6 separate regions of the Mus musculus genome follow, and all the other regions are reported to be linked to region 1. Evidence: microRNA targets listed by miRTarBase, many of them from high-throughput screens and not tested one by one. Region 1 holds a microRNA gene; each other region holds the end of a gene's coding sequence.
What was found. Region 1 holds the annotated microRNA mmu-miR-129-2-3p (AAGCCCUUACCCCAAAAAGCAU, at 1,767-1,788, opposite strand). A microRNA usually pairs through its seed, bases 2 to 8, with sites in the 3' UTR of a target mRNA and lowers its output. Matches are read on the target gene's strand: a 7mer-m8 pairs with bases 2 to 8, a 7mer-A1 pairs with bases 2 to 7 and ends in A, and an 8mer does both.

Region 1 (5,074 bases):
GTCTAGTCTGGGTGGGAGAGATGAGGGCTCTGGGGGCTCAGGAACCCCAAGGAGCCTGTGTTCAGGTTATTCGAGTTATCGTCTCTAAGGTCACCTCGATCTCAAATCTGGTGAATGGTCGGGCTTTTGGAGAGGGAAGGGCTTCCTGACTAGGGAAAGGAGGTGGGATACAGTAAGAAAAAGACAGAAGAGTAGGTGAAGGGACACAGTGCGAAGCTATTTTTAATCTAACGTGGCTTTTCTGCCTCTCCCTCTGCAGAGCTATCGCTCCACAGACGGCCCCAGGTGAGAGGCAGGAAGAAAATCCCCCCACAGCTTTTGCTCCCTCTCCATAGCATGTTCAAATCTTTGAGACCCTTTTACTCTTTCAGAAAATACATTCGGAGGAAAAAAATATCCTTTATCAGGGGAGAAGGACCCTGATTTAGCTGTGGAGTCTGGAGTTCTCGCATTCTGTGCCTTCTTACGTACTGAGCTAGCACCGGCTGCCTCTGTCCAGCATTCTCAGCATCTGCTAGCCTTTCTTTTCTTTCAGGAGGGGGTAGAGAGAGTAGAGCTTAGGTGGTTAACTATGGGACCCCCAAAATGAGTCAGAGAGTTTGTTGAAAGCAGAAAGGTTGGGATGCGGGGGGAAATTCAGGCCCTCCCCGAAAATGGGAAGCTTTGCAGCCCCGGGGTGTTGGGCTATCACATCCCTAGATACATCCTCTAACTGCTTTTCACCCCCATAGACATTTGCGTGTGTCTGTGTGTCCTTCTGGCCCAGTCCCTAAGGGCAAGGGTGTCTAGCAGTGTTCTTAGCTAGCGAAGGGCACGGGGCACAAAACGTGTTGAAGGCCTGATTTGTGCCACTTGTAACCGAAGTGGTCACGACTGCAAGGAGTGGAGGGGGAGGAGGGGGACCCACGGGCTCTCCCCTTTGCAGCTTGCCTCCCTTCCCAGGTCTAGGAGCCTCGAGTGGCCAGCATGGGGCTGCTGCCTCTGCCACTGCTAAACAACTGCAGCTCGCAGAAGCTCCTTCCCCGCGGGGTTTTCCCTAGTTTCCGCCTGTTTCATCCTCTCCTGCGCTACTTAGTTTTGAAAAAGAGGAGATGGGTGGGTACTGGAGCCTGCAACACGCCTGAAATTAGGTTGGAAGCAGGTTCAGGAAGAAGGCTCCGGGGAGCGGGCGGTGCCTGGGTGTTTTTCCCTCTTTTTCGGAGCTACCGGATTCACGGAGATTCATCTCACCTCCTCTAGATTCCGCTCATCCTAACCGAGGATGGTTAGGGCCTACCGCCCCTCCCTCAAGGGCTTCCCCTCCCCCATATTAGATTCCAATCCTTAGGGTCAAAAAAAAAATGACCGTAAAATTTCCTAAACTGATTCATATTCTAGGTACTGACTTGGCCCTATGGCCATGCCCCCCCCCCTTATTGTGAGTGGGGATATTTGGGGTGTGGGGTGTGGGGGAACGACACAACTTCTGTAAACTTTTATTACATTTTAGCTTCTTCTCACTTCTTCGAAAACACACGCACGCCACCCGCTCCAATTCCCCCTGTGGTACAAAGTCGACTAAAAAGTTGGGGGCGGGGGACATGTCTCGGGAAAGCGAGTGATCAAAGCCTCGCGGAGCGCGGAAAGGACGGGGAGGAAAGAGCTGATTCTTCCGTGGAAAACGGGGAGAAAAACTGGGGAAGTCTCGGATGGAGCCGCTTCGGGAAGGTGCTGGCTTCGGCGGTCGCTGGTAGCTGCAGTCACGTCGCCGAGCGCGCCCTCCGCGAATGCTTTTTGGGGTAAGGGCTTCCGGCTATTGAGTTATGTACAGCAAGCCCAGACCGCAAAAAGATTCGCGAAAGGCAGTCTACCCGCTTCTTCGGTCCGCCGCCACCGCCGCCGCCGTCGCCGCCGCCTTTAGCCCAGCATGTCTCCGAACCCCGAAGCCGAGGAGACTGGATCTCCCCGGCGCGCTCCACCGCGGCTCATCCTCCCCACCCTGCGCGCCGCTCTCCCCTCCTCGCGTCCCCAAACCCATCCCTCTCTCTATCTCCAGATCCCCCGACTCAGCCTTGCACAACCTCGAAGAGGTAGTGGAGAGCGATAAGGGTAGCTCGAAGGGGGACCCCGGATCCCAGAGCCCTGCCTCCACCCCTCTCGCCCTAGCACTCCAAGCCTCCGATCCTATCTAGTCTATCACCCAATTCCCCCATCAGGGTTCTGACAGCCCTGACTGCAAGGTCGTGGATCTCTGAGCAGGTACGATCCAGATTTCCCCCGAATCCCCTCCTATCCTCCCTAGTCCCCCAGCAGAGGTTCCAGCCGTGACTACAGGCGCTGCGTAAAGAGAAAAACTCCCCCAGAGCACTAAATAAATACAGACAAGGCCGCCAGCTCATTGGTGTGGACTAAAATCGTCACCCACCAATCAGAAGAGAGCTCACATTTCTTTTTTTTTTTTTTTTCCAGAAGGGGGAGGGAGAAAAATATTTCCATTTCTAATTATTCAACAAAACCTAGACTAGAACACATTAAAATATTGTTGTTCCAAAAGCTGTCCATGACTCCCTCCCATTCTAGCCCAGGTGAGGGGGTGGCAGTGTATATTGGGAAAGAGGGATTCAAGAGAGCGACCTCTTCCATCGGGACCTAAGCCAGAAGAACCAGACGGAAAATGACTGGCAAAGATGAACATAAAACAAGCTCAAATCCCACTCTAGTTGGCCTATTTCTAGAAAATTAGACCTTTTCGAGTCCCCCTACCCCACTCTGCCCCCCCAAAGTTCTGAATGTTCACTAAGAAGGGTGAAGTTTCTCCCTCCCCCAGAGCCCCCAACCTGTCCAGATCATGGTGTCTAATGGCCCATTTGCCTCAGGTGCCCTTCCTTGTTGCCCCCCCCTTCTGCAAAATATTGAGGGAACAAGAAAGGGTGAGCTGGGCATTGACTGTCACAGTGACAGGAGATTCCAGCATCTGCAGGAGGGAGGGGAATAGAGAGCTAGAGAGGAAGGAGGGGGCAAAGTCTCTCCTCTCCCCCCTCCTCCCTGCCCTTTAAGTCCCTCCCCCATTCCATCTAGCCTAACTTAAGGGGGATGCCCTCTTCTTTATGTGCAGGCCCACCCAAGTCCCAGTGCCCTCTTGCCTAGCCCCAGGGATGCCAAAGGGTGTGATTAAACAAACGCCTATCTCCCTTCCAGTAGGGGGTGAAAAAAAAAAAAAACTTAAGTCAGGGTGGTTACTACAAGCATCACAAGAACTTGGGGGCAAAAGTTGGGTTTTGTTTTGGCTTTTTCACTTTTTTTTTTTTTTTTTTTTTTTTTTTTTGCCATCCCAGAATGGACCTGCAGGCAGGTACGCGCGCGCGCGTACACACACACACACACACACACACACACACACCCTTGGCTTATCATACCCACAGAATGCATTTCTGGACCTGGAGCCTTAGTCTCCCAAGTTCCTGTCGGCCCACCCACTCCGCCCATTCATCACCCTCCTACAGCTCTGTGACCCACCCACCCTCCTACTGCATCCCCTCCGCTTGGCTCGGTTACGGAAAGACGCAAGCACACACCCTCCCCGCGTCTCAACGCCGCGCCAGAGGGGGCTACACAGTCTGCGCTTGCCTCTAGCGCAGGGCAATTGGGGAAAAAAGTTCTGCTCGGCCGACCGTTGAGCCTACCGACCACCAGGCGGCCAGCGCTGCAAATTCTTTCTCCTTACCTGAGTCCGGGGGTCTTGGGAGTGCATTGGTTCGGTGTGCTCTGCAGCGGTCTGGAAGCAGCCCTCTCTGGCCAGCCCGCTCCCCTCCTGCCCCTCCCCAACCCCCATGGGTGTTTGCCCAGCGGCAAAGCGGGCTCTTCCAGGTAAGTATATAAGTTACTGTACTGTGTGGGAGGGTCACGATCTTGATAATTGCAGCTTCCCGAGTTTAACCCGTGCGCTCCTGCCTCCCTCCAACTTGTTGAGGACTCGTTGGGGAGCCGGAGAGGCAAGCCAGCGCGGCAGAGAGCGCTGGCCCGGAGAGGGGCGGGTGTGCAACGGGCAGAGAGGGGACAGCAGCACTGCGCGCAGTGGAGTTCAAATGCAACACCCCCTGGCAGAGGTTTTCATTGGATAGGTCTTCCCCCCACCCCCGTTCACCCCTGGTTTGCACCCCCCCAACTCCATGTAGGGGACGTCTCCAGGCGAAGTCACGATTCCTTCTCAGTTCGGAATGAAGTGTGACTAGAGCCATGACGCAGCCAGCGCGCATTACTCACTTTTTGCAGTCACGACTTGGGAATCCGTGCTGGTTCCAACCAAAATTGCACCGCTACCATTGAATTATTTAATAGGATCCAGTTGGGGGGGGGGGGGTAAACTTGTGCATTGTGCCAGGCAGTGAAAACCGCAAGGGCAGAGGGCTGGAGGGACATAAGGACACGGAGTGCCCCCCCCCCCACTTTATGACTCTCGGAAACCCCACTGCCACGGCTCCACGTGTTGCAGGTGCCTTATTGCCCCCTTCCTCTCCTGGCAATTTCCTTTGCAAATGAGGCAGAATTTGTAAACACCACAACTTGTGGGGCTGAGAGGGGCGAGGCTTGGGAAAGGGAACTGGCATATCTACCCCTTGAATGAAGAGGAAGCCTAGGGGTGGGACATGAGACTACTAGCAGCAGCTTTGCTTTAAACTTGGGTTGTCAAGACAAAGTGTGGGTTGCAGCGTTATTTGGTAATTCTGCACCTCAGGAACAGCCCTTGTTACTATTAGGAGTTGAAGTCTCAGCCTCAGCCTCAGCCTCAGCGAGGAAATCTGCCCAGGAAGGGACCGCTTCTGAGCTAAAATTAACTCGACTCACCACCCTCTTTTCCCTCCAGGGACTGCAATCCGGTTGCCCTGTGCAGGTCCCTCACTCAAGGCGGGCCGCTTCCAGGTAGATAGAAGAGCTAGCTAGTCTCCTCTCGCTATCCTGTGCCCCCCTCCTCAAAGATCTCGATGTTCCTGTGTGCACGTAACCTTATTACAGACTGCAAGAGTGCTTTGTTTTCCCCATCGTGTACTCTTGTGGGTCAGTTTAAAGATGCACTATTACCCTGCTCCGAGGCGTT
Region 2 (5,074 bases), not on the chromosome of region 1:
AGTTCATAATGTTGTTCCACCTATAGGGTTGCAGATCCCCCCAGCTCCTTGGGTACTTTCTCTAGCTCCTCCATTGGGGGCCCTGTGATCCATCCTATAGCTGACTGTGAGCATCCACTTCTGTGTTTGCTAGGCCCCGGCATAGTCTCACAAGAGACAGCTATATTAGGGTCCGGCTTAGACCTTTTTTAATGTTTATTTAAACACTGTTAAAAATCTTCCAGATTAAAGACCTACATAATTAGAATACTTGCCCCGGTTTGTGCTCTCTCTTGGCTGGGGGCTTCATATTAAAAATCTGGCAACTATTGGGGAGACATCTTATACCCTTACTAAAAACCCTTATATTTGATGGAGTCATGTTTTATCTGCACAGTCTCTTCTGCATGCAGTAAATGCAGAATGTTGTCTAGAAGGTCCTGTCCCCTTCCCACCAGAGGACAGTGAGTGGTCAGTCATAGTGCCAGACCCTGGGGACCTGCTGCTGCTCCATCGCCTGAAAGTGCATGCTGTTCATGCAATCGGAGCTCTGGATACACTGTGACTCTTACCTGAATGAAGAAAGCAAAATCCATCATTTAAGAATCTCTCTGTACTGGATTTTGCCTCTATATAAATGTTTAACAATTCCTGGTAATTATGGAATTTTATTGGAAATTTCAATTGAATTTATTTAACTGAACATTAATTGATCGGTAATATAAGGGGTGTAAATAAACTAATCTCTTTCAAAATTCTCTTTCAGACCTGAAGATGTTAAACGAGTCACGTGGGATTGCTAAAACAAAAACTACACCATACGTCTGAGTAATAATAATCTATGCAGTATGAATTTTGATGTTCATTTAAATTTTTTTTGGACACTTAAAATTAAACCCAGGGCCTAAACTATAGGCAAGTGGCTACCAACGAGCTATACCCTAACCCACTGAAAACTAAAATTCACTTTAACAAATGAAGAACAAAGCTGGGCCATAATGGCACATGCCTTCAACCCCAGCACTTGGGTGGCAGAGGCATGCAGCCAGTCTGGCCTACAGAGGGAGTTCCAGGACAGCCAGGGCTACACAGAGAAACCCTGTCTAGCAAAACAAACAAAATGAAAAGAAAAGCAATAAAATAATAACATAATCCACAAGGTGACTACTTACCAATGACGAGACTTGTGAAAAAGGACAAATTATTGCAAATCACGGAAGAATGCACTCACTCTATTAGTTCATACCTAGTCCAAATTAAATTTCTACTTGGCTTTAAAAACGGTCATAGCCTTCTGATGTAGGTGCTTTTAGTTATTTTTATTTTTTGTATTTTGTATTTTTCACACGGTACTATTTTATCACATTCTCACCCTTCCCCTACTACTCTCATATCCTTCCCTCCCCATTCTCCCAGTTTCAGGATTTTCTTTCTTTCTCCCCACCTCCCCCCACCTATGCCTATATGCCTCTCTCTGCTTCCTGAGTGATGGCATCAAAGATGTGTGCCACCACCACCTGGCCAATGTTCTTCTAAGCATATGAGCCTGCTAATACATTTTTTATTTTTTAAAAAAACCTTATGTGTATGGAGGTTTTGCTTGCATGTATGCCAGTGCATCTGTGTGCCGTATTTGAGAAGCCAGAAGAGGGTGTTGGATCTCATGAAACTGGAGTAAAAGTTGGTTGTTAGTGCCCATGTGGCTGCTGGGAATCTAATCCAGGCCATTAGGAAGATCAATGCTCTTAAGCTGCGGAGCCATCTCGATCGTCTCATTTGTATCCATTTTCCAATAACTACTGTAGCTCCCTCCTGCCAGTCACTCCTACCTCCAAGACTCAACTTATCATAACCAGGCTAAGAAAACCCAAGGGCAACTGTTCTACCAACTGACAACCTCAGAGCTGAGCCAACTCAGCACATAGGAACTAGAAAAGCAAGCGGCTCCATAGCAACCAGACTGTTTCATCTCTCACCTTGGGGGCAGATGCTCCCCCCCCCCAGAGAGTTTCCCTGTGCCTTGGGGTGAAATTCACCCCACCAAGGAATCACTGCAGGACAGAATCAGGTCAAGATAATTCGATGGCTTCTTAGCCTTTCGAATAGTTACTCAAACCAGTGTAAAATAGCTGTTGTCATCTAAAGGGTCTTTTGTTTATTAAAAGGTATTCCTACATAATAGAAAGTTAAAGTCACCCCAATTCTACCTCTAATTGGTTCCGATGACACTTGTCCTATGGAGTTTAATAGATTCAGTTTTGTTCCCTATAATTTAATAGCCTATTTTCTTTATCTACCACAACGTTGTTCCTTGCGAAAATTCCACACATCGCCCCCAAGCGGCTGCCTAATATTCCAGTATATGGCAATAAACATCCAGGCTTCTGAAGGTTTGCTAGTTCTTGGACACTGTGATCATTACTTGATTTCAATGCATTATTAATAACGTCATTGTGAGAAATTACCCAACAACCTTCAGCAAGCCAGAAGCTTCACTCAATCCCCAGCATCCCACCAAACACACCTAAGGAAGGAAGTGCCACCCAATGCTCCCAGTGACGGTGGGCGTCTTCTGATCTTAAAACGTGCGCCTTAGATGGGATCATTCATGTCTGATGGTCTTGGTGGTTTGAAATAACGTCGGTGATATCTGACTGGGTGCTAAATTTCAAAGTGTCTTAGTCATAACTGTAATTTTAGCAGAGTCACAGGGGATGTTTGAAATGAGTCATACAGACCTGAGATTCATCAGCACCAGCATCAGCATCAGCATCAGCATCAGCACCAGCATCACAGAAACCAGGCAGTCAGTGGCGCATGCCTGCAATCTCTGTGACAGGGACGCAGAGGCAGGGAGATCATGAGTTTGAGGCCAGCCTTGGCACTGTAACAGATGCCAGTTCTCAAAACCAAGAGCAAACAAAAGTGAACAAACGAACCCCTCACAGAGTTTACATATCCATTGTCCCAGAAACGAGTCCTCACTGGCCTTCCACGAGCCTCTGTACATTTGTCCGTCCAGCTTACTTTCTGAACCCCGCCTTGGGGTTTAATTTAAAATTAAGGACCTGTGGGGGCTGCCTTTAATCCTAGCACTTAGGAGACAGAGGCAGGCAGGTCTCTGTGAGTTTAAGTGGCCTGGTCTTAGTGAGTTCTAAGCCAGCCAGGGTTACAGGGTTAGTCTCCAAAGCAAACAAACAAACAAAAACAAAAAAAACAATTATGTTTTTAATCAGTTGAAAAATTAATTTTGAGATGGGATTACCCACCCACCACCAAGGGATTGCCCCATACTTTAACCTCAGGTTGTGCCTTGCTCTGTGTTGTATCTGTCATGCCTTCTTTGTGGGTCCAGAGCAGGCAGGGGTGTCCACCCTCAGGGCTCCAAAATGGACAGCAGGAACACCATGTGTCAGGTCTGTCATGAATGCTCAAAGGCTGCACAGGCAGCCCACAGCTTTCTGTATCTTGCTGTTTGCTGTACTGGGCTCACCAGTTGGAACGTGGGCCTCTGGACCAACGACTCAGTGCTATGCAACAGTCACTGGACTACTTTCTCTGGTCTGTGCCTGGTGTGGCTTCTGAATAGTGAGTGCTGCAAGAGGTTGCCTCTCTGCTTGTATACACTGGCTACTTTGTATATCTCTGCAAACTTGATGGTGTTCTCCTTCTGACCCCTCTCGGTTTAGTCTTCATCTTGAGTAATTCCTGGGTTTTGCCTAAGGGGCATCCTGGAAAGTTTGGAGATGACTCTCCAGGTACAGAGAGAGAACCACGGCTGGCTTCAGTTGCATCAAGGCTGGAATAGGTGATCAAGGCACTGTTAAGCAGCCTGGGAGCACCAGGGAGGATGGTCAGTCACTGAGAGAGCCAACCAGGAGCATAACTTCCGTATCTGTGTCTGAATGTTTACACACCCCAGCTGCTGTGTTTATACACAGACCCAGGGCAGCTGTGTTTGGAAAGAAGGTCTCTAAGGAAGTAATTAAGGGTTAATGAGGTCACAAGGGCAGGCCCCTGATCCAGTAGGCCTGGCGTCCTCATAAGAGGCACAAAGTTGGCTCTTTCTCTGTGTGCACAGTAAGGAAAGCCCACGAGGACGCTGTGCTCCGCAAGCCAGTGACATGAAGCTCAACTCTCTCCGGACTTTGGACTCGTTCTTCCAGAACTGAGAAAACACGCTTCCACTGTTTAGTCTGTTCACTCTGTTCTGAGAGTCCAAGCAGGCAAAGAGCGAGAGGAACGATGTGGAAACAGACACTGCCTGCCACCCTGCTCTCCTAACATCTGAAAAGCTAGTGTCGATAAAGTATAATTCTAATTTCATGCCATTCACCCACACACAGTTCACAACGATAACCCTGATATCTGTGGTGCAAACACAGTTGGTTTTAGCACATGTTCATCATCTCAAAGAAACCCTGCAGCTCCATGCCCACTTCCTACCTCATGCCCATGTCCTAAGCAACCACCAACCTCTTTCTGTCCAAGGGGACTTGCCCGTCCGCACATTTCATGTGTTCACCCACTCATGGACACCTGGGCTTCTGCATCTTTGCTGCTGTGGGTATTCGTTCTGTTCTCTTGGGTCTATACCTAGGAGCGACAGCGATGATAACATATTGAACTTTGTGAGATAGCCTCACCAGCAACTTAGGACGACTCCAATTTCTCCATATTCTTCAACACTTGTTATTGCCTGATCTTATGAAAACCATCACCCCAGTGGAGGAGAGGTGGAATCGAACTGTGGTTGACGGCATCTCCCTCCTAAACGGTGTTGCATATTTCTATGTTTTCTGGCCATTTCCCCTTCTTTGAAAGAATGTTAGGGATATACTCAATGTCTGTTACATGCTAGGTGCTCAGATTTAAAACAAAACAACAACAACAAACCTAGCTCCTTATAACACTAAGATGCAGTTACTTCTATTTATCTTTAGCTCTTTTTGAGATATGGTGTCAGACTAGAGATATGGTGTCAGACTAGCCGTGGACTCCAGTCCCTTCTGCCTCCATCCCTCGAGGGCTATGATCACACATATGTGCCACCGTGCCCAATTTTATACCACGCTTTATATAATTTATGTTTAGT
Region 3 (5,074 bases), not on the chromosome of region 1:
TCATTTGTTTTAAAGGCCTATGACTGTCTAGTTATTGCTTATAAGGTTGATTACTCAACAGGTTTGCAGTTAAGCAGTAACCATGAGGCTAACAGCATACAGCTTGCTGTAAGGACCTTTAGTGTTTGTCCACTGTCGGAGGCATTGCTTCCTCCTTCCTGGACCCGATAAGCAGACCATTGTACTGCTGGCCTTCCGGTGGATGCGTCTTTCCATATGGCCTGTATGACAGAAGAGTTGTCACATTTTCCATGTTATAACAGTCACTAGGATAATCGAACAATTGGTGTTACAAATGAATAGAAATAGCTGGTCATCACTCAGCTCTGCCTCTGAACACGTATGTTCTCAATTGGCACCATCATGTTACAGTATGCCACAGTCGGTGGGCACAACGCTGCATTTAACTAATTTATCCTCACCTGGAGTTGAATAATGTATAGACAAAATCACATACTAGAGAGGGAAGCTAACACAGGTCAGTAGATGTCACTGTTATCTGTTTCCTCTTCCCTTGGCCTTTGGATGGGGTTTCCAATACCTAGTGTTTTTAAATTAGCATTGTCGTTTGAGCAGTTTGGAGGAGTGACTGAAGTCAAACATGAAAACTTAGTTTATTGAGGTGGGACCTAATTACCAGTAGAGCGGATGGAGAAGGAGTAAGAACGTCTTACACTTCAGCTCCAACAGCCAGCTGTTTTGTAGTAGTTATTAATACAAGGTCAGTATCCCTATCTGAGCTGCTCTACACCAGGAAGGTTTCACTGCCAGATACTGAAATGTTTGCACACTCTACTAGTTGAGCATCCCTGACCTACAAATCCGAAATCCTCCAAATTCAAGAAACTTTGGAGTCCTTCAGATTTCCACATTAGTGATATTCCCACCTGTGCTTTACCCAAAGAGAAAAAGATCCAGGACCATCCTCTCACAAGAAATATAGTAGCTGTTTGTTTCTTCATTCCTCACTAGTCACAAAAAAAAAAAAACAAAACAAAAACAAAACAGGTTTTTCTTGTTGTTTTTCCTTTTCTGTGCTGAGAGCAAGAATTTGGAATGAGAAAGCCTGGGTTTAAGCCTAAGTGTCTTTACTCTGTGGATCTGTGGGGCTGAGCAGATAACATTGTCTGAGCATTTGTTTGACTTAGTTTCTCAGTCTGTAGAGTAGACACCATAAATTCTTCCTTCTGCCTTCCTCCATGTGGCTGTGAAGATTGGGCTATGTGACCACTTGTGACAATCTGGAATGCCAGGGTTGTCGCTTACCACGGGCTCTGAGATAGCAAAGGAAAAACTGTGTGTGTGAGCAGACCAAAACTAAGTGCCATCCCAGATGAGAATGCAGCTGCAGTGATCTGTCTAAAATTAAAAATGTTCTTGAGGTGACAGAAACAGCAGGGGTGCCCGGTTGTAAATGTTTATGCTTTGAACTGTCCTCACAATAGTCACATGACTAAGCACACTTAAAGTTGAGGCACAGGGTTAGTTGTCAAAGTGCATTGAGTTTAAATATGGATTTAAACCCAGGCCTATATCCCCAATCCCTTTACCCGTCCCAGCCATTGACAATGTACTGTACATCTGTAAGAATTTCCAGAAGACTTTCCAAACTGTCTCTGTAATTGTTTTCATACAGTAGTTGTGAAGAGTAATTTTAAGAAACTTCTAAGAATGGATTTTTCCATTTCTGCTAAGTCTGCTTGACCAGTATGTACAAGGTGGAACTCGTGTGTGTCACTAGGCAGCCCACGGTGGTTTTACCATGGGAGGTGAGAACTAACTGAAATGACTGCTGGTTTGCTGTACTTCTGTAATCAGACTTTACAAGCCATGACATTAATTGCACTCTGTTTTTGTCAAAGCCCTGTGCTGTTTAAAGAGAGACTGTAAAGGCGCTGTCACGGTGCGGAGTTGAGTAACCACTCCACTGTTTAACCTGCATAACTTTTTGTCATTGTCTTAAAGCCAAGCTGTGTTTGCATATATGAAAGTAATTGTTTCTTAGAAACATGTGACAATTTTCAAAGTAGTGTATAATGACACTGTTTAGTACATTTTATATTTTTTGTTACATCCCACTTTTTGTAAATATTCTCAAAACTTGATAATAAAATGTATTTCTCTATCACCATACTTTCCTATGTGAAAACCTTAGACCATCTCTAGTATAAGGATCTCAAGAGAGTTGTATTTGGTTATAATATTTTCCCCGGGCCTGAGTAACAGGAGTTTTTTTGTAAATATAGCCAATGCTACATGAGCACATATATATTTATATATCCTCTGTGAAAGACAACCCTTTAAAGTCATTTCAGGTGTATACTGCATTTGAGATAATTATCTAGAGGGTTCATTTATTGGAATACAATACAAAGAATAATGATAATTAAATATTTGAGCGACTATCCTAGGTATTACTAAAAGACTTAGAAAAATCAAAGGTCTCATGAAAAATCAAATTTCTAGAATTTGAGACTAGAAAGCACTACTAGACTCTTCCCTCTTAATTATAAAAAGTGAAACCAATTCTGTATGTGGGAGGAGCCAACTGTCAGTATTTACTTCTTTCAAATGTTCTAGCCTGGTCCTTGTGGGGGGGAGAGGGACATGAAACGGTGGCTTTAGAGATAGAAAAGAAGAACAGAGCGATGAGGAATGGTCTAAGGCTGGGAGCATAAGCCTGGGGAATGGGCTCAGAAGATAAAGTCCCTGCTGCATAAACAGAAGAGCTCCGGCTGGAGAGATGGCTCAGCGGTTAAGAGCACTGACTGCTCTTCCGAAGGTTCAATTCCCAGCAACCACATGGTGGCTCACAACCATCCATAACGAGATCTGGTGCCCTCTTCCGGAGTGTCTGAAGACAGCTACAGTGTACTTACATATAATAAATAAATCTTAAAAACAAAGACAGAAACAAAAAACAAACCAGAAGAGCTTCAGATTGGCTCCCCAGCGCCCATGGGGTTACATGCCTGTAACCCAGTGTGACATTGCTACAGAAGGGGCAGGGATGCAATCTTTGGTCAAATTAAGGAACTTTGAGTTCAGAGATGCTGTCTCAAAAACAAAGTTGGACAGCAATGGAGAAAAAAAAAATACCCGCTATAAACCTTCACGTGTAAATGCAATGCCCTAAATTTAGTCACAGGGTACGTATAAAAACTGTAGGTGCTGTGGCTGAAGTGTGCATACAGCATAGCACACCAATTAAATATGGCGTCATTCCTTCTTTTCTTACAGACCAAGACACAGAATGTTAATGCCATTCTCAGCTAAGCAGAAGCAGCAACAGAGAAATAAGTGATGGGGGCTGGAGAGATGGCTCAGTGGTTAACAGCACCGACTGCTCTTCCAGAGGTCCTGAGTTCAAATCCCATGGCTAATCCCATGTCCACCTAAGCCCCTCATAGGACTTGCTGCTGCTAACCACGTCCCCAGATGCCCATTCACCGCATTAATAGGAAAGTTCTACAGACAACTTAATTCACAGCTAAAATTGTGTATTTATCTGAGAATGAGCTCAGCTTAGGAAGTTGCTCCTCCTGGAGAGTTAACATTACTCTTAATTTTTATTTCAGTAAAAGTCAGATTTGGTACAGGTTTTTCTAACTATGACTTTTATTTCTTACGTCTTTAATATTTGTGTTACCACTCTTTACGTTCATCCATAGAGGCATTGGAATCCTTCCGAATCCTGCTTCCAGAGTGGAGAGCTGCCGACTCCTTCCCAGTTACTCCTCCTTCACTTGTGCACAGAACAGGAAACTAAGTCTATACTGACGTACTCAGTTAATTCTTTCCTTTAGCAAAAACAGGATCTTAACTCTAGAAACGCACATCTGACTTCTTCCATTTACTAACCCTAAGAGAGCCTTCTACCAGAATACACTGACTGCTTTTGCCCTTTAAAAATACCCAGATCTGTTGACTTGAAATAGCCATTTACCTTATCTCCAGTTTCTAACAAACCAATCAGTGCTCATATGTGTTTTTAAAAATCAAATAGAAATACAGTAAGTTGATAAGGAGACAATTTCACAATAAATCACTTTACTGGGTTGAAAACAATTATACCAAGAGTTAGTTATAACCTTTGACATTCTACCATTTTGATTGTATTTATATAAACAGGCTATTTTTTGTTTGTTTTTGGTTTTTTTGGTTTTTTTGTTTGTTTTTTCGAGACAGGGTTTCTCTGTATAGCCCTGGCTGTCCTGGAACTCACTCTGTAGACCAGGCTGGCCTCGAACTCAGAAATCCGCCTGCCTCTGCCTCCCGAGTGCTAGGATTAAAGGCATGCGCCACCACTGCCCAGCATAAACAGGCTATTTTTATTGACTGAAAAGAGATACTAGTTTGAAAACTTATGTTACTTCAATATGCAAAGTGAATTTTGTTTATTTTGATTTTTAAGGCCCACTGAGGAATAAAAGTTCAAGCTGAAGTATCACTGCCAAACAAGTTCATCAAACCCAGCTACAGAGGAGGAGGGGGTTTTTGACTGGCAGGCATTCCTTTCTTGACTCCCCCCATGAAGTCTCTGATGAGGTAGCAAGGCAAAGAAGTGAAATCTTTCTCCCATCTTCTGAGGATTCATTAACATATCATACCCTCCAAGTAGCTGCTGCTTCGCAGATGGCTCACCTGCTTTATCCAAGAGAACCTGAGCGGAAAGAAAGGCCTTTAAGGAACATCACCAGAAGAAAAGCATTCCCCAGCACAGGACTAATGATGTAAATGATGCAGTACAGCAATTCCCCAGATGGGATCACAGTGTCCTCTAACTGTAGGATGCTGTGATCCAAATGTATACATCTGCATCGTTAGCAGATATCCCAGGCGATCTGCTCCGTAACAACAGAGGAGTCATGATTTCATACCCATGAACGTGGTTTTCTTGGGCGTATCAGCCTCACATAGAAACTTGGCAAGCTGTGCACACCCCAGTCCTTACTTGTGCAAAATTACACCTGAAGCCTGCTCGCTATAAGAGCATTAACGCCAGTGTAGCTCAATTTAAATAATTTCCGAAATTAAGAGGTTTAGTGTTACTGAGATAAACCACTACCTTCAG
Region 4 (5,074 bases), not on the chromosome of region 1:
TTTTAAATCTGAGCACGAAGAACATGTCAGCTGAGCATATGGGAACCAGTATACAATGAATTTGGTCTAAGATGCTATTCAAAATTCCCCCCAAATGTGCATGTAGCAATTCTTAACATGTTTACTGGAATCATTCCTATTGAAATAGGTGATAAAGTGAGAGAAGCTGAGGAATCCACCTTTTCCTAAGAGCTAGGAATTAAACGTTGCTAAACAGCTTTAATAATAGGCCCTTTTGTAAATACTCTTTAATATTTACTTCAAATAAGCCGAAGTCCTAAGGACCAGCTTCAACTGACAGCTGCCAGACCCTCCACTCGTGCCTAGCTGCCTTGACTTAACCAAGAGCCAATAGCCAAGCCTCCCTTCTTTGACGGTCAGCCGAGCAGTCATCATGCCATCCTAGCACTCAGGAAATGGAGGTAGGTGGATGTCTCTGATTTCAAGGTCAGCCTGGTTTACATAATAAATTCTACACCAGCTGTGGCTTACATTGTGAGATAACCTCATCTCAATAAATAAATATTTTTCAAAAATGCTCTACATTCTAGAGTACCAAAGATTAAGATCTAATATGCAGAGACTGTGGGGAGATAGCTTGGCTTGGCAGGTAAGAGTACTTGCTGTTGCTGAGGAACCAGGTTTGGTTCCTGGAACCTACACAGTGACTCACAAACACCCATAACTCCAGTTCCAGAGACTCAGATGCCCTCTTCTGACCTCTGGGACATGAGGTACTCATGTGGTACACACATATGCATATAGGCAAAACATTTGTACACATAAATAAATCTAAAAAAAAATTTAATGTGCAAATATTCAAGTTTTGATTCTCTCTATAAAAATAAAACCCATCTGATTAATATACAAATTTACTCTCTGTATACCAGAGAGCTGTTTTAAATATTTTGGGCTGGGGAAATCGTTCAGTGGAGCACTGGCTGCTCCCCCAGAGGAACCAAGTTCAATTCCCAGCATCCACACAGAAAACCACAAGCATCTGTGATTCCAGTTGCAGGTGAGCAACGATGCTGCCGGCCACCATGGTAACCAGGCACGCATACGGTGCACAGACACACATACAGGCAAAATACCCATTCACCATAAAAATCAACATTTCTACAAAAACGAGTTGCCTCATAATTTACTATCGGTACATGTTTTGTTTGTACACCTACGTCGTGTGCCTGTATACCTGAAGTCACATAGTAGCGTATTGGGAGAAAACAGCTCTTGAGTGGGATATACAAAGCCCTGATCAACAGCAGACTGCAGGAAGTCAAGAACAGAGGCAGAGAAGACGAGAGATGACAGAGAAGCTGAAACTGACCGAGGGTGAGAAGCTGTGGAGGGCAGAGGTGAGACTTCGGAATTATAACCCTGGGCTGATAGGAGAGTTTAAGAGTTGGGCATTGTGGCTCACACCATTAATCCCAGCACTCAGGAGGCAGAGGCAGGCAGATCTCTGTGAGTTCAAGGCCAGCCTGGTCTGTAGAGCGAGTTCTAGGACGTCCAGGGCTACACAGAGAGGAAACCCTGTCTTAGGGTGAGGTGAGGTGGAAAACTAGAGAGAAGATGCTGGGTGACCTAATAAATAGATTGCCCCAAAGCACACATCTCTCCGAAGAAATCCAATCATAGGAAACTAAATAAAATTTCTAAGATGGTCTTTTTAGGCAGGGTCTCTCTTGTAGTACAGGCTGGCCCCACACTTCCGGCCCCACGCTGGCCTCAGCCTCCCACAGGGTGGGTTTACAGGCGTGCCACCACTCCAACTTATTTTTTAATCATTTTTTTGTTGTTGTTTTTTGTTTTTTTTGTTTTTTTTGTTTTTTGTTTTTTGAGACAGGGTTTCTCTGTGTAGCCCTGGCTGTCCTGGAACTCACTTTGTAGACCAGGCTGGCCTCGAACTCAGAAATCCGCCTGCCTCTGCCTCCCGAGTGCTGTGATTAAAGGCGTGCGCTACCACGCCCGGCTTCTGGCTTGTTTTTTAATCCTTATTTAAGTGTATATCTGTGGATGTCAGTACAGGGTGTCAAACTCTGTAGAGCTGGAGTTCAGATTCTTGTGAGCCACCACGAGGGTGCTAGGAACCAAACCTGAGTCCTTCAGAAGAACAGCACTCACTCTAAAATTCAGAGCCAACTCTCCAGCCTCTTGATCTGTTTGAGATTGGGACTCACACTCTGTGGTTTAGGCTGGCTTCCAATTCAGTAATCCTCCTGTCTCAGAGGCCTCCTGAGTCCTGGAATTACACGCATGGACCACCACCACCTTTGGTTTTCAGGCTATTATTGAAACCACGAATCAATGGCAGCAGGAAACACTTGGAGAAGTTGATTCTATAGAAGAAATCAACCAAACGCGCTCACACCCAGAGCGAAGAGCGTGCGTCTTCAGCAGAGATGGCTGAAAATCCTGTTTTGTGTCAGACACAATCATAAGGTAAATTAGTAAATGCGGAATGCGGTAAACAGTAAAATCCGCCACTGGAATTTGAATTGGTAAAACAAACAGTTCATTTTGAATGCACACACTAATTTTCTTGCCAAATTACTTGCAGCCCCCCAACTCCCAAAAAAGTCTTTAGGGTAGATGAAAAGTGCACAATTCGGTTCTACATTGCCATCTAGTGGTCAAATGAACTCACAGCATTTTCCCCCTAAAAGCTGCTCAATAGAAGCAGGTTCCGAGAGACCCTGTGTAAAGAGACGGGAATAAGAGCAGTGTGGAGGAGACGGGAATAAGAGCAGTGTGGACACTGGAAATGTAAATTAAAAGCTTTATTGAATAAAAATGTTTTAGGCTAAACAAGGCCATAAGGAAACAGATTATTTTACATCTCTAAAACTGAGCTAAATCTCTACAAATGCAAAGAGGCCACTACCTTAAGCCCACCCCGCCATACACATCATTTGGAATATCAGTTACATACAAGAACTGCACTCGTTTATAATATTCTAAAGCCTTAATACCAGAGAAAACCATCTATCCTCCTCTGGGTTTACCAGCCTCACACAGAGTCACCTGGATGTGGGACTCAGCTGATGAACCGCCTCTAACCGATGCACCTGTGGGCCTTGTCTGTTTTTGTTGTGAGCAGTGTCACCCCTGGCCAGGTGGCCCTGGGTGGTGTAAGAAAACCAGTTGAGTAAGCCACAGAGATGAAGTCAGCAAGCAGTGTTCCCACACGGTCTGCATCAGCTCTTGCCTCTGGGTTCTGGCCTCGCTTCCCTTGACCATGCTGCGTGCGCGCGTGGCCTGTGTGTGACCCGTGGCCTGTGAGTGGAGACAAACCCTTCCCCTCTGAGTTGCTCCTGCCCAGTGTTTTATCACTACAATGAATCAAAGTAGGACACGGCCTAAGAAGACAGACCTAAAAGTGATTTAATGCAACCCTGGAAGAATTATCTGGCCTAAAAATCAATACATTTCAGAGCCAAGATTCGCCTCGACCTGAGGCTTCCCAGCTCTGATCTCAGGTTGTTTTACTTGGAGCATGGTGAAGCGTGATCCAAAAGGTCTTACAGCAACACTGCAGCTTTCCGCAAAGTGCGAGAAACCACCAGAAGAGATGGCAAACACCCAGAGTGCAGGGAGACACACTGGCATTCGCCACTGATTATCTGGGTACAATGTCCGTCTCTCCAAACACCAAAGTATATAGGTTGGTTCTCTGTCTCGCAGGTGTTTGTGAGGTTGGTTGTATTTTTTTTTTTAACTTGTTTCTTATTGTTGATGATGGGCACGTGTGGACAGCTCTGTGCAGTCTGCTCTCTCACCTTTACGTAGGTTTTGGGGATTGAACACTGCTGCTCCGGCTTCAGTAACCAGCGCCTTTCACTTGGCCAAAGGTTGCTGTTTTGTGCCTCAGTGATTAAAAATACAGGATGTAGGATGAAAGACAGTAAGCTTTCCCTATCTACCAGAGGAAGAGAATGCATTTCAAAAGCTTGAAAGACTAAATATTTGATTTTCAGCAATTGAGTACTAAAAAATGAAATTGGTAAAATAGCTACACTGTGCCCTTTATACTAAAGTGCCTCTGGTCATGAGGTGGGCTCCTAAATGTGTTGTGTGTGTCTCTAATTCCACAATGGTCTCTGTAGTGTGAAAACAAGCCTCTAAATATCTAACCACACCAATCTTGATTTGGGGAATGCAGTGGATGGCAGGCAGCATCAGTGAGAGAAATCCCTACTTAGCCCTTCCCTGAAAAAATGGAGGGATTTGTTTGTTTGTTTGTTTTGAGGCAAGGTTTCTCTTTGTAGCCCTGGCTGTCCTGGAACTCAGAGAGACCCACCTGCCTCTGCCTCTGCCTCCCGAGTGGAGTGCTGGGATTAAAGGTGTTTACCACCACACCAGGCTTAAAAGATCACTGGTGTTTTGACAATGCGCTTAGAATTGGTTTTGGGTGAGTTTGTTTGTCTGTTTTGTTTTTGCTTGTTTTTGCCCTGTTTTGCTAGCGGGAATTCATTTCCAAAGTTGCTCCCACATGAATGACCCTTGGCGCCAAGCTGCCTGTTTCTGCGCACCACTTGATAAAGGGCAGTGAGTTGCTAACCAAAATCTAAGGCCAGAACCATGGCGGCCGGTCATTCTTCATCCTCGTCCTCATCATAGTACCGGTTTCTCTTTATCTGTTCCTCCACAGACAGCTCTCGGACCACTTCTCCCTCCCAGAACCCGACATCTTGGGATTTTTGATTCTGGGTAGTGAATTCTTTAGCAGCCGTGGTGTCTACAAAGCCAGACCAACCCGGAGCCTCGGGTTCTAACGGGGACTGCTGTGCGTGGACATGGTTGTCATCTTCAGCTATGTTTGCTCCATTTTCCATAAAATTCTCACTCTCCAGCTCAAAAGAACTACGGTCCTTGCTCCTCGGCACTTCCTCGCCCTGCCAGCGTGATTTTCCCACATTCTCTTTCTCCCCAGAGGGTCTGGCATTTTCCGTTTGTTTCCTTTCCATCGTCGCTATCCCTCCTCCAAACTCCTCACTCTGCTCGGACTCGCTCCAACCTTTCCTGAGAGATGGCGAAGAGGCCTTGGGGCTCTTGATGGAAGAGGTTCGAA
Region 5 (5,074 bases), not on the chromosome of region 1:
TCTCCCGAGTCCCCAATGGAGCCTTCCAACACCTGCCTCAGCTGAGGGAGCTGGACCTGTCCCATAATGCCATTGAGGCCATTGGGCCAGCAGCCTTCTCAGGTCTGGCTGGGGGCCTGCGGCTGCTGGACTTATCCCACAATCGCATCCGAAGAATTCCAAAGGACGCCCTGGGCAAGTTGAGTGCCAAGATCCGCCTGTCCCACAATCCACTGCACTGTGAGTGTGCCCTGCAGGAGGCCCTGTGGGAACTAAAGCTGGACCCGGACTCCGTGGATGAAATTGCCTGCCACACCTCAGCGCAGGAGCAGTTTGTGGGCAAGCCGCTGATCCAGGTCCTGGACTCAGGTGCCAGCTTCTGCAGTACCCACCGGAAGACCACCGATGTCGCCATGCTGGTCACCATGTTCGGCTGGTTTACCATGGTGATTGCCTACGTAGTGTACTACGTACGCCACAACCAGGAGGATGCCAGACGACACCTGGAGTACCTGAAGTCCCTGCCTAGTGCTCCAGTCTCCAAGGAGCCTCTTAGCCCTGTGCCCTAGCACCCACCTCCGGTGGGCCACTGAGCCTGGCTACCCTGTCTTTCTGCAGCAGGTGGAGGTGATGGTGCTCTTGTGTCCCCAGGGAGGTGCATTGCAGCTGTTCAGCCCAAAAAAGCACTTTCATAGTTGGTATTTGGTCCCTGCAGCCACTGCCTAACACTGTAGCGGGGGGAGGGGGGTTTGCCCATCTTAATGGGTAGGTAAATGGAGGTCGAGAGAAACGGAACTCCTTGCCAAGGCTGGCTTCAGCTGCCACTTAAACCCAGGCTGTTTGTGGTATAGGTCTGTGAGCCGTCTGATCTGCCAACCTCCCTTTCCCACACCATGCTGTGGGAAGTAAATACTTGTGCACGCAAGGATGGGGGCCCTGGCAGGGAGGATGGCGCCAGCAGTTTTGCCACCGGGGAATGGCTCATTTCTGTTTACCCCTGCTCTCCCAGTACATCTGAACACAGAGATGTTTGCCCTTTCCCAGAGCAAAGTACCGGCAATCTAGACCTTTCCAGAGAGGTCAGTGCAAAGTCCAGCCTGCACTGGTCTGCTCTGACCTTTGTCCTGGGAGTTCTTTAGTTGCCCTTGTGCCAAAATGTCAGTCCATCGAGAGGGAGAAAATGGAGAAACGTGAGAAAGGTCCAGCATGGGCTCACCATGGCCGTGTCAGCTGCTAGACCACTTATGGGCTGCCTCAGCTTCTGCCACTTCTATCCATTCCTGGGCAGTGGAAACCTGTCAACCTCGGTGGCTCTTGTGCCTTGCTTTCTACTGCCAATATCTAAAGCAGCTGTTTTTTCAGAAAGAGGAGGGACTGAAGTTTGAGGTTGCCATGCCAGTCAACAGGAACTGCTTTTCTCTAGCAACAAGAACCTTCTCTTCACCTCGCTGAAATCCCAGAGCTCACTGATCAACTTTCTTACCTGTAATTACTTCATCTTCAGGGGTAGATGTTCTAGCCACCTAACTAGACTTGACTTCCAGTTTTGTTATTTACTGTCCTTTTGTATAAGTGTTTATACCCTAAGCTATGTCGTCATCGAGTATCTGGGAGAAGTAAATGAGCATAGTGTGTGTGTCTGTGTGTGTGTGTGTGTGTGTGTGTGTGTGTGTGTGTGCTGAGTATAGGGTCTAGATGCCGCTCTGAGCAGAAATTGAATGTGGCTTCTGTGTGTGCTGGGAATTTTCTTGTGATCTGCAGGGGCAAGGTGAGACTATGTTGGGGGCCTGGCCTGACTTGGTCCTTACCGTCAGTGTGACCCACAGTTCTGTCACCATGTGACACACTTGCCTGAGGCTACATGGCTGTCAGCTGCAAAAGTATATGGAAGAGAAAAACACTCATGAATTCCAGACTTTCCCCACTGCTGAATGCCCACACCTACATGGTGACCGTGGGGCCACCATGCCTGGCATCTGCAGGGTGAACAGAGCCCTGGATGAGCTCCCAAGCTGTCCACTATTCTTCCACAGCCCTGGGCCAAGCTACACTGTCTTCAGGGTCAGACCCTGGCGGAGCTAGTAGGACCATTCCCATTCCCATGAGAATTGGAACCTCGAAGCAGCCTCCTTAGGGACACCAGTCAACGTTGTGATGCTGCCTGGCCCCCATTGGCACAGACATGCTCAATACCCAGTACCCAGTTAAGTGTTCAGAGGAGGCAGGTGCTGAGGGCTGTATGATTTGGACCCTGGAGGGTGCTGTGCCAAGGAAAAGAGGTTAAAAAGCCAGAGCTGAGCCAGGCAGTGGTGGCGCACGCCTTTAATCCCAGCACTTGAGAGGCAGAGGCAGGCAGATTTCTGAGTTCAAGGCCAGCCTGGTCTACAGAGTGAGTTCCAGAACAGCCAGGGCTACACAGAGAAACCCTGTCTCGAAAAAACCAAACCAAACCAAACAAACAAACAAAAAAAAGCCAGAGCTGAGGGCTTGGATTAAGGACCAGGTACCACCCTGGTGCTGTGGCAGTGCTGAAGTAGCTATCTATGTATGTCCCATGGACAGGGACACCTCTAGCCTGACACATACTCTGGGAGGTGCCAGTGCAGAGGGTATGGCTTGCATTCCTATTACCATGTGGTGGGGACGGTAGCTGCTTCCAGGCAGGGGCACAAGTTGGGAGGTAGCTGGCCCCTGCGGCCTTTCTACCATCCTACTCAGTAGAGGGACCCTGTTTCTGGAGCTTGCCACTATCCAGCATGTCTGTCCCATCGACAAAACCAGGTCAAAAAAGAACATGGGTGGAGGCCTGGTGGTGAAGTCTGTAGCTGCTCTTGTCCCAGAAACACCCTATTGGGTCTTTTAGATACACCGGTGTAGGTAGGGCTCCGTCCCAGGCTGCTCAACCCACTGCCAGGCTTGCTGCTCTTAACCTAGGGCTTAGCCCTACCTGGTTGCACATCTATACAGCTCCTGCTCAGCCCTTGCTGGAAAGAGGAGATGGGAGACTCAGGAGAGTATGGACCCTGGAGAGAGCATGCCCTGTCCTCCTATAAGGAGGACCTCAGAGACCTCAGCACTCTCCTGCTCATCCAAGCTTCCAACCCTGCTGCCTCAGAGTCTTATCTCCCTGTCGTCCCATTCCATGTCATTCATTCATGTATATAGATACCCTTCCCTTCCTTCCCATGACCAACTCACAGGCTAAGTGTATGAGGCTGGAGCCTCTGCTGGAGACTTGCAGATGTGGATGGTTGCATTGAAACTGTCTTTCTCCCTGGATCCCACCTGCTTCCACCAGCTTCACCTTCCTTCTCTCCTTGAATGAGATATTCTCCTCCCCCAACTCTGCACAGACCCTCTAGATCTCCAGGACTCTGGGTCAGTCCTCCCCTACTCTGCGCATCTCCACCCCCACCCCACCCCGACTTGAGTGTTCCTCAGGCACAGTGGGCGGGGTTTTTTTTTGTTGTTTTTATTTTTGCCACATGGCTCAGTGTCCTGCCCCATCCTCACCCCCATCAGTATAAACCTATCATCCCAGGTCCCACCCACTGGCTCCTTTGGGCACTTTCCCTCCCACTAGTTACATGTGATTGCCTAAGACACGGTTTAAATTGAAATCCTTGGGTGGGGTTAGAGGTTGAGGGGTGGTAAGTCACAGACTGAGATGGAATGTTCTGAGCCTGTGGCAGCTCTCAGGACTAGGACTAGGCTCCTAGGATGGCTTCTATGTTGCCTTTCTTGGAAGCTCAGCCCCGAACCTGATTCTGTCCTCTCCCAGCCTCTCTGTGAGCCCTCAATAAAACTTTTTGTGCAGGAAAGCTGATTGGGATTCTGTCATCTTCAATTCTAGCCGACACCCATCCCTCACGACCGTGTCAACATCTGTCTGCAGGTCCTCACAGCTGGGAGGGCATCTTCAACTAGCTAGACAACTGATTGTCATAGTTAGATCATAATGGCCGTCATTAAGTTTTCAGGAATTCTGGGAGCCAGCTTGTACCATGGTGCCTTGAATCTGACCACGTAGAGGCTCGACGCCAAGGAAATTGGTAAACATCACATGTCAGAATCCCACCCTCATAATCCTTGGAAGCAGTTATTATTTGACAGCACTCTGTGTGAGAACAGTTCAGCGTGGCCTCCAGGCTGAGCCAGCAGCACCCGGATAGCCACAGTGCGGGTGGCTCCCACAAAGCCATGATCCTTAGGCCACACTGTCATGCCAAAGATAACTTTTCTGAATCTTCAGGATTTGATTTCTCAAGGGCCATGGCCCTTGGGATTCACCATCTATGGATGCTTATTGTCTCCTGACAGCTTTGTATCCCTGCTCTGAGGTCACGGCTGCCCGCCTGTCTGCCTCACCAACTTTTCCAACTGCTGTTTCCAGATGCCCTATCTGGAGACTTTGTGTCCCCACAGATGGTCTGGTACCCACCTACCAGCCTGGGTTATCCCTTCCTACTTTCTATCCTGCCTTGTTCTCTGGGTTCTGGGCTGGACAATGGATGCAATCTCTTTCCCTCTGTAGAATGCTTTTCTGCCATGGAGCACTCTCACACCCAAGTCAGTTTTCAGTTAATGTGGCTGGAAGACCCAAAGAGTGTTCACATCACCCGTCAGCCTGTCTCCCTTCCCTGCAAACTGGCTTGTCCCTTCTAGGAAACCTTCAGTGTAGCCAGAGTGGAGTCCAGGAGCTTCCACAATCTGCAAGTGCACACACACACACACACACGTATACACACATACATAAATACATGCATATGCATTTCCACTACATGTAAGCCAGACAGACACAGAGATATTGTTACACTCATGTGAGTGTACACAGGCTCACATGCAGATTTAGAGGCATGCACTACATTTCTGCACACATGCACCTGTCATTGCATCCATCCCTCACTCCTGGCCCACTGTGTCTGTGGTCTTTGGAGGGAGTGTTAATCTGCACCTCGCCCCTCCCCCCAGGCCTCTAGAGGCAGTTGCCTGCTTAAGGGTCTCTTCTGTAGCAGCATCTATTTGACTTTTCCAGAATCCAGAGGTGGCGGCTGCTTTCCTGGGATTCTGAGGAATTTTGTAGCTCTCTGGACTT
Region 6 (5,074 bases), not on the chromosome of region 1:
TGATCTTCTTGTCACATCTCCCAAGGACTGGAATCAGACATTGCCACCACACTCAGCTCTGTACCACTAACTCCAGCAAGACCAAATCGTTTTAACTAGTAATGTCTTGGGTTGACTATGAGGCAGTCCACAGGAAGCTTCCGGACATTATCTTGGTACCACATGAAGTCTGTAGGATGTATCCTCTCAAGACGTTAAAGGCACACACAAATAATCCAACTCCCGTTCTCTCTTCGTGTATGTGCATGGGCTCTCAGAGTGATTTTTAAAAATCTACTGTCAGATCAGGAAAAAGCAGCACACACCTGGGTTGGACAATGACAAAAGCAGAAAACCCACCTTTGTCTTTCCTGAGTTTCAAAATGGGGGTCTGACAGCAGATGCAGAAACAATTCATATTCACCAGGAGAGTGTGCCGGCTCACCAAGCACTGTCATCTTTCCAAGCAGAATGGATGTTTAACCACTGCTAGAAGTGAAATTTCTGAAACATATCCGTCTAGAGCCATCAACTAAATGGTGAGAGTGCTTTGCACACCCGATGGGTGACTCAGACAAGCCAATGCCCTCCCTGAGCATTTGGTCGTTTAAAACCTGATTCCAATGGAGTAAACACCTGGATCCCAACCGCCCATCTATGACAAACGGCTGTGGAGAACCCAATTCCTGTCAGTCAGTCAGTGTGGGAGAGTACAGCAGACAGGGAGGAAGTCAGGCCACCTTGTGGAGTACATGGAGAAGACTTGGAGGAGGATTCAAGTTCATGAAAATGTACACAAAAACCAACTGTAATTTCCTGTTGATTCACAAAACATATGACCTTTCCAACTGAACAGCCACAAGCGGTGTTTGCACGCTTCTCTCCAGGTCTGCTTCCTGGCCTTGTAACACTGTCGTTACACAGATCTCCAGGTCTGCTTCCTGGCCTTGTAACACTGTCGTTACACAGATCTCCAGGTCTGCTTCCTGGCCTTGTAACACTGTCGTTACACAGATCTCCAGGTCTGCTTTCTGACCTTGTAACACTGTCGTTACACAGATCTCCAGGTCTGCTTCCTGGCCTTGTAACGCTGTAGTTACACAGGTGCACAGATCCTTAAGACCAGATCTGCACTTTCAGATGAAATGCTTATTTTAGAAAATGGTCCTGGCTTCCTCTTCTAACTGCAGCTCTCAGAAGGCAAAGAATTGCTAAGAGTTTGAGGCTAGCACAGGCTACAGAGATCCTGTCTCAACAATAAAGAGTACTCTAGAAATGTTCAAATTTAGTCTTATGTAATCAAATTGTCTATGATCAACTAATTTTTTAATTTATACAAATTTCTGATAATTAAACTGCAAAAACCATTGGGTGTTTGTGATATATGTACACATCATACTATCTACATATAAACACACACACATCCTAACTTAGAGGCTCATATAAACATCACCTATCAAAAGAAAGTCTGCCAATTATGGGATAACAGAATGAAGATAGTCTGACTCTAGGATGGTTGATATAGCCCTTTTAATACATTTATTATACCCTAAAATTAATTATTTTTTTCAGGACATAGTTTCTCTGTGTAGCCCTGGCTGTCCTGGAACTCAGAAATTTGCCTGCCTCTGCCCCTCAAGTGCTGGTATTAAAGGCGTGTGCCACCACTGCCCGGCAAAATTATTATTTTTTAAACCAGGGCTTACCACTATTATTTATCAAGGATTAGCAAAGGTAAGTAATTAAAGGAAGTTAAAATACCAATTGGGTAGCTTTTAAAAGTTAATTTTCTAGGATTCAGGTACTTTCTGGTAACTTTTAATATAATTTGTAACATAAAAATTAATTTGTTTGAACAAATTCTGATTTTCAGGATTTTTTCCAATTTACTGCAATAAACATGAGAATATATGAAAGATAAACATTATAAGATACAAGTAGATAATACTTTTACAACAGACAAAAATACTAAAATACAAATTTACTTTGACCAAGTCTTTTATATATATTTATGAATGGACATGATCTTACAAATATACATGAGAATAACAATTATCATTTGTAGAATCCTAAGCATTTATAAAACACTTTTGTTCACACACTTAACTGTTAAGAATTTCTGAACTAAACAATTTCCATTCTCTAACAAAAGCATAATGCAGATACTTACTATAAAATTACAGTACACATACCCTCAGTTTTACATACATCTGTTGCTCACCTGACAGATGATTTTCTGCATTGTTTCTATAGCTATATCACTTATAATTTATGACTTGAAAACCATTTCCTAAGTGTATTTTTTAGCATTTTTCTCAGAATTTAGATTCCAACTAAGCATGACTCTTAAAATACATTTGTATTATCCTAAGATGAGGAAAAAGTTGTTTGCCAATGCTAGGTTTCTGATAACTGCCTGAATTTGAACAGAAATCGATTGACACCATTGTCATTGACAAGGAGTATATTATAGTGAGAGACTGGGAAGTTACACAGCAAGTCACCTGCTGCAGCCCAGGGCACTGGAAGTTACAATAATTAGTTGTGCTAATTCCTGCTGTATTCACTTATGTGTCTAAGAAAAATTTCACATTTCCCTTTGCAAACTGCTAAGCTTTACAAAATGGAGGTAAAAAACCTAGAGGGAAAAATTTAATAGAAATCTGAAAATGATGATCAGTATTTTATACAAATAAAAGAGCTCTCCCAAATAAGAGATTTCTCTCTGGAGACCGGAACTGCTGCTGGTCAGAGTTACAAGTGAGAGGCCCCACTGCTGTAGGATATTAAGGAATTAGACAACTCTCCTAGGCTAATAACTGCTCACAAGGCAGCGGAGAGGCACTCACAAGGCATCACACAAGTTAGGTCCAACTCTGTCAGGCTGGGTAGGAGCAAACCTGTTCTTGTTTTTCTTACAGCAGTATTGCAAATGCAATTTTGTCTTAAGATATATTTCTTTTATACACGTGTTCCTGTATGAATTTATGTGCACCATATATTTGTAGATGCCCAGGGAGGACAGAAGGTGTTCGATTCCCTGGAACTAGAATTGCAGAAATTGTGAGCTACCTGATAAGGGTGGGAACCAAACCTAGGTTCTCTGCAAGTGCAGGAAGTGTTCGTAAACACTGAGCCATCTCTTCAGCCCATCTGGTTTCTTTTGATGCACTTCCCAGATCCTGGATACAGGTCTGCACTACCATGCCTGGGAAACAGATCCTGAACACAGACACCTGCCTTGCTCTGTAAAAGGGATTTCAACTCCTATGTTAGTTTAAAGGAAAGAAATTCTTTAGTGGACGCACAGATGAGTCATTAAATACCCTGAGAACCAAAGTGGATCACATTTTTTTTTTCTTCAATAGTAATTTTAATTTTTCCTTAGGGACTAATGTATAATTTAAATCTCCTTACTTTTACATCTCCTACATCAACTCACAAAAAGTATTTAATATCAGAGAATAGTCTATAAAGTCATAAAATTTGGTATTTTATGGTAGCTGAATTGTCACTACACTTTTACAATTAGAAAAAACACCAAACAAAACCCCAAAAAGCCTTCAATAGAATTAACCAGTATGGATAAAGTCATTTCTTGGGGCTTGAGAGATGGCTCAGTGGTTAAGAGCACTGTCTGTTCTTCCAAAGGACCGGGGTTCAGTTCTCAGCACCCACATGGCAGTTCACAACTGTCTGTAACTCCAGTTCCAAGGGATCTGATCCCCTTCTACCAATGTACACAAAGTTAAATAAATTGTTAAAGTGAACGAATGAACAAAACAAACTCATTTCTTCCTCTCACAATGAATTCTAAACATTCTTAACATCAGGCAATTCAACCAAAAAAAAAAAAAAAAAAAGCTTCATTCATGCAATACTCTCTACATAATTGACAAAAACAGGACACACTCCTGAAAAATGGTTCACAAATCCCTATGAAGTTTACACTGGGCAGTACTGCCTACCCCACATAGTATTTCAAAAATGCCAAAGTATATTCATAGGCCAAATTATGACTTTTTTTTTTCAAAAGACAAGGCCTTATTGTGTAACCTTTGCTGGCCTAGAACTTGTTATGTAGACCAGGCTGGGTTCAAACGTATAGAAGTCTGCCTTCTGAGTGCTGGGGTAAAGGTGAGCACTGGTCTCACTCAACCAACCTCCCACCCCCAGTACAGGAAAGGATTTATGACTGCTTGAAATATTGGAATTTTGGGTCAGAAAGGCATCAGGATTATTTATTTCTTTATGCAAAGGAGTTGAGTTCTCACGTGGTCGTTTTAAAAACTTTCCTCTTGGATTGACGTTGGCTTCTTGTGTGAGGTATCCTGGGTTTAGTTAGAGCTTAAAGCACTTCTCATTGTATCTATGAATAGTTACACAGCCGTGGTAGGACACTGGCCTGGGCATTGCAGCCACTCCTGTGATGATACTTGTCGCAGGATCGTAACAGAGAATAGTATCTGTGGCTTCTCCATTTTCCCGTCTTCCACCCAGGATATAGATTTTACCATTACAAACAGACATACCACAGTTTTCCTGTTTAACCAAATATATAAAAAAACAAACAAAAAAACCAATTAACTATTAGAGATAAAGGATTTGACAATAAACTAAAAAAGCATCAACATGCATTAACAAAATATAAGAAAGGGAGACATAATATCCCTTTTGCCCAACTCCTGTTGTATGTTTGAGTGTTGAGATTTACATGAAGTGAATACTAAGATGAATTGTTACTAACAGAGGCCTAGATGAGATTGACAAGGCTTTCATTCCAGTATAGGAAATAAGCATTTAAAAAACCAGAGCAGGGCTGGAGATGGCACTGTGCTTAAGAGCATCTGCTGTTCTTCCAGAGGACCCATGTTCAGTTCCCAGCAGGCATTCTAGGGGATCCAACACTCTTTTCTGGTATCTGGGGCATGAGGGGAGGGGAGTACTTATACACATGGAATGCACACACACGTGTGTACACACACAGACACCTCAAACCATAAGGGGACCTGGTAAATGGGTTTCTGGGTAAAAGATGTTTGCTGCCAATCCCAATAATTTGTGTGTTCCATTGCAGGACCCTCATGGTGGAATC

Region 2: miRTarBase lists Hsbp1l1 as a target of mmu-miR-129-2-3p. Seed matches in the 3' UTR shown: 7mer-A1 at 1,060-1,066.
Region 3: miRTarBase lists Ndufaf7 as a target of mmu-miR-129-2-3p. Seed matches in the 3' UTR shown: 7mer-A1 at 4,201-4,207.
Region 4: miRTarBase lists Lima1 as a target of mmu-miR-129-2-3p. Seed matches in the 3' UTR shown: 7mer-A1 at 4,269-4,275 and 8mer at 4,203-4,210.
Region 5: the mRNA of Lrrc3 is a reported target of mmu-miR-129-2-3p. Seed matches in the 3' UTR shown: 7mer-A1 at 2,387-2,393.
Region 6: miRTarBase lists Klhl24 as a target of mmu-miR-129-2-3p. Seed matches in the 3' UTR shown: 7mer-A1 at 1,569-1,575 and 8mer at 1,502-1,509.

What each region holds. Positions count from the first base shown.
Region 1 is chr2:94,239,610-94,244,683 of GRCm38, forward strand. Mir129-2 (microRNA 129-2) reads right to left here and starts at 1,844; the gene lies at 1,755-1,844. It overlaps Mir670hg (a long non-coding RNA gene), which reads right to left. Exons shown (of 8, transcript XR_003953878.1): 3 at 3,704-5,074. It overlaps Mir129b (microRNA 129b), which reads left to right and starts at 1,769; the gene lies at 1,769-1,833.
Region 2 is chr18:80,226,233-80,231,306 of GRCm38, reverse strand. It overlaps Hsbp1l1 (heat shock factor binding protein 1-like 1), which reads left to right. Exons shown (of 5, transcript NM_001136181.1): 5 at 746-1,556. The coding sequence ends at 751. Among named protein-coding and RNA genes, the nearest start is that of Hsbp1l1, 18 kb to the left of the region's middle.
Region 3 is chr17:78,946,464-78,951,537 of GRCm38, reverse strand. Ndufaf7 (NADH:ubiquinone oxidoreductase complex assembly factor 7) reads right to left here. Exons shown (of 10, transcript NM_028611.3): 9 at 5,069-5,074; 10 at 3,486-4,663. The coding sequence ends at 4,448. It overlaps Prkd3 (protein kinase D3), which reads left to right. Exons shown (of 19, transcript NM_001171004.1): 19 at 1-2,133. Among named protein-coding and RNA genes, the nearest start is that of Ndufaf7, 12 kb to the right of the region's middle.
Region 4 is chr15:99,775,702-99,780,775 of GRCm38, forward strand. Lima1 (LIM domain and actin binding 1) reads right to left here. Exons shown (of 11, transcript NM_001113545.1): 11 at 2,767-5,074. The coding sequence ends at 4,596. Among named protein-coding and RNA genes, the nearest start is that of Cers5, 5.7 kb to the left of the region's middle.
Region 5 is chr10:77,896,301-77,901,374 of GRCm38, reverse strand. Lrrc3 (leucine rich repeat containing 3) reads left to right here. Exons shown (of 2, transcript NM_145152.4): 2 at 1-3,800. The coding sequence ends at 548. Among named protein-coding and RNA genes, the nearest start is that of Lrrc3, 3.7 kb to the left of the region's middle.
Region 6 is chr16:20,122,353-20,127,426 of GRCm38, reverse strand. It overlaps Klhl24 (kelch-like 24), which reads right to left. Exons shown (of 8, transcript NM_029436.3): 8 at 1-4,521. The coding sequence ends at 4,321. Among named protein-coding and RNA genes, the nearest start is that of Yeats2, 16 kb to the left of the region's middle.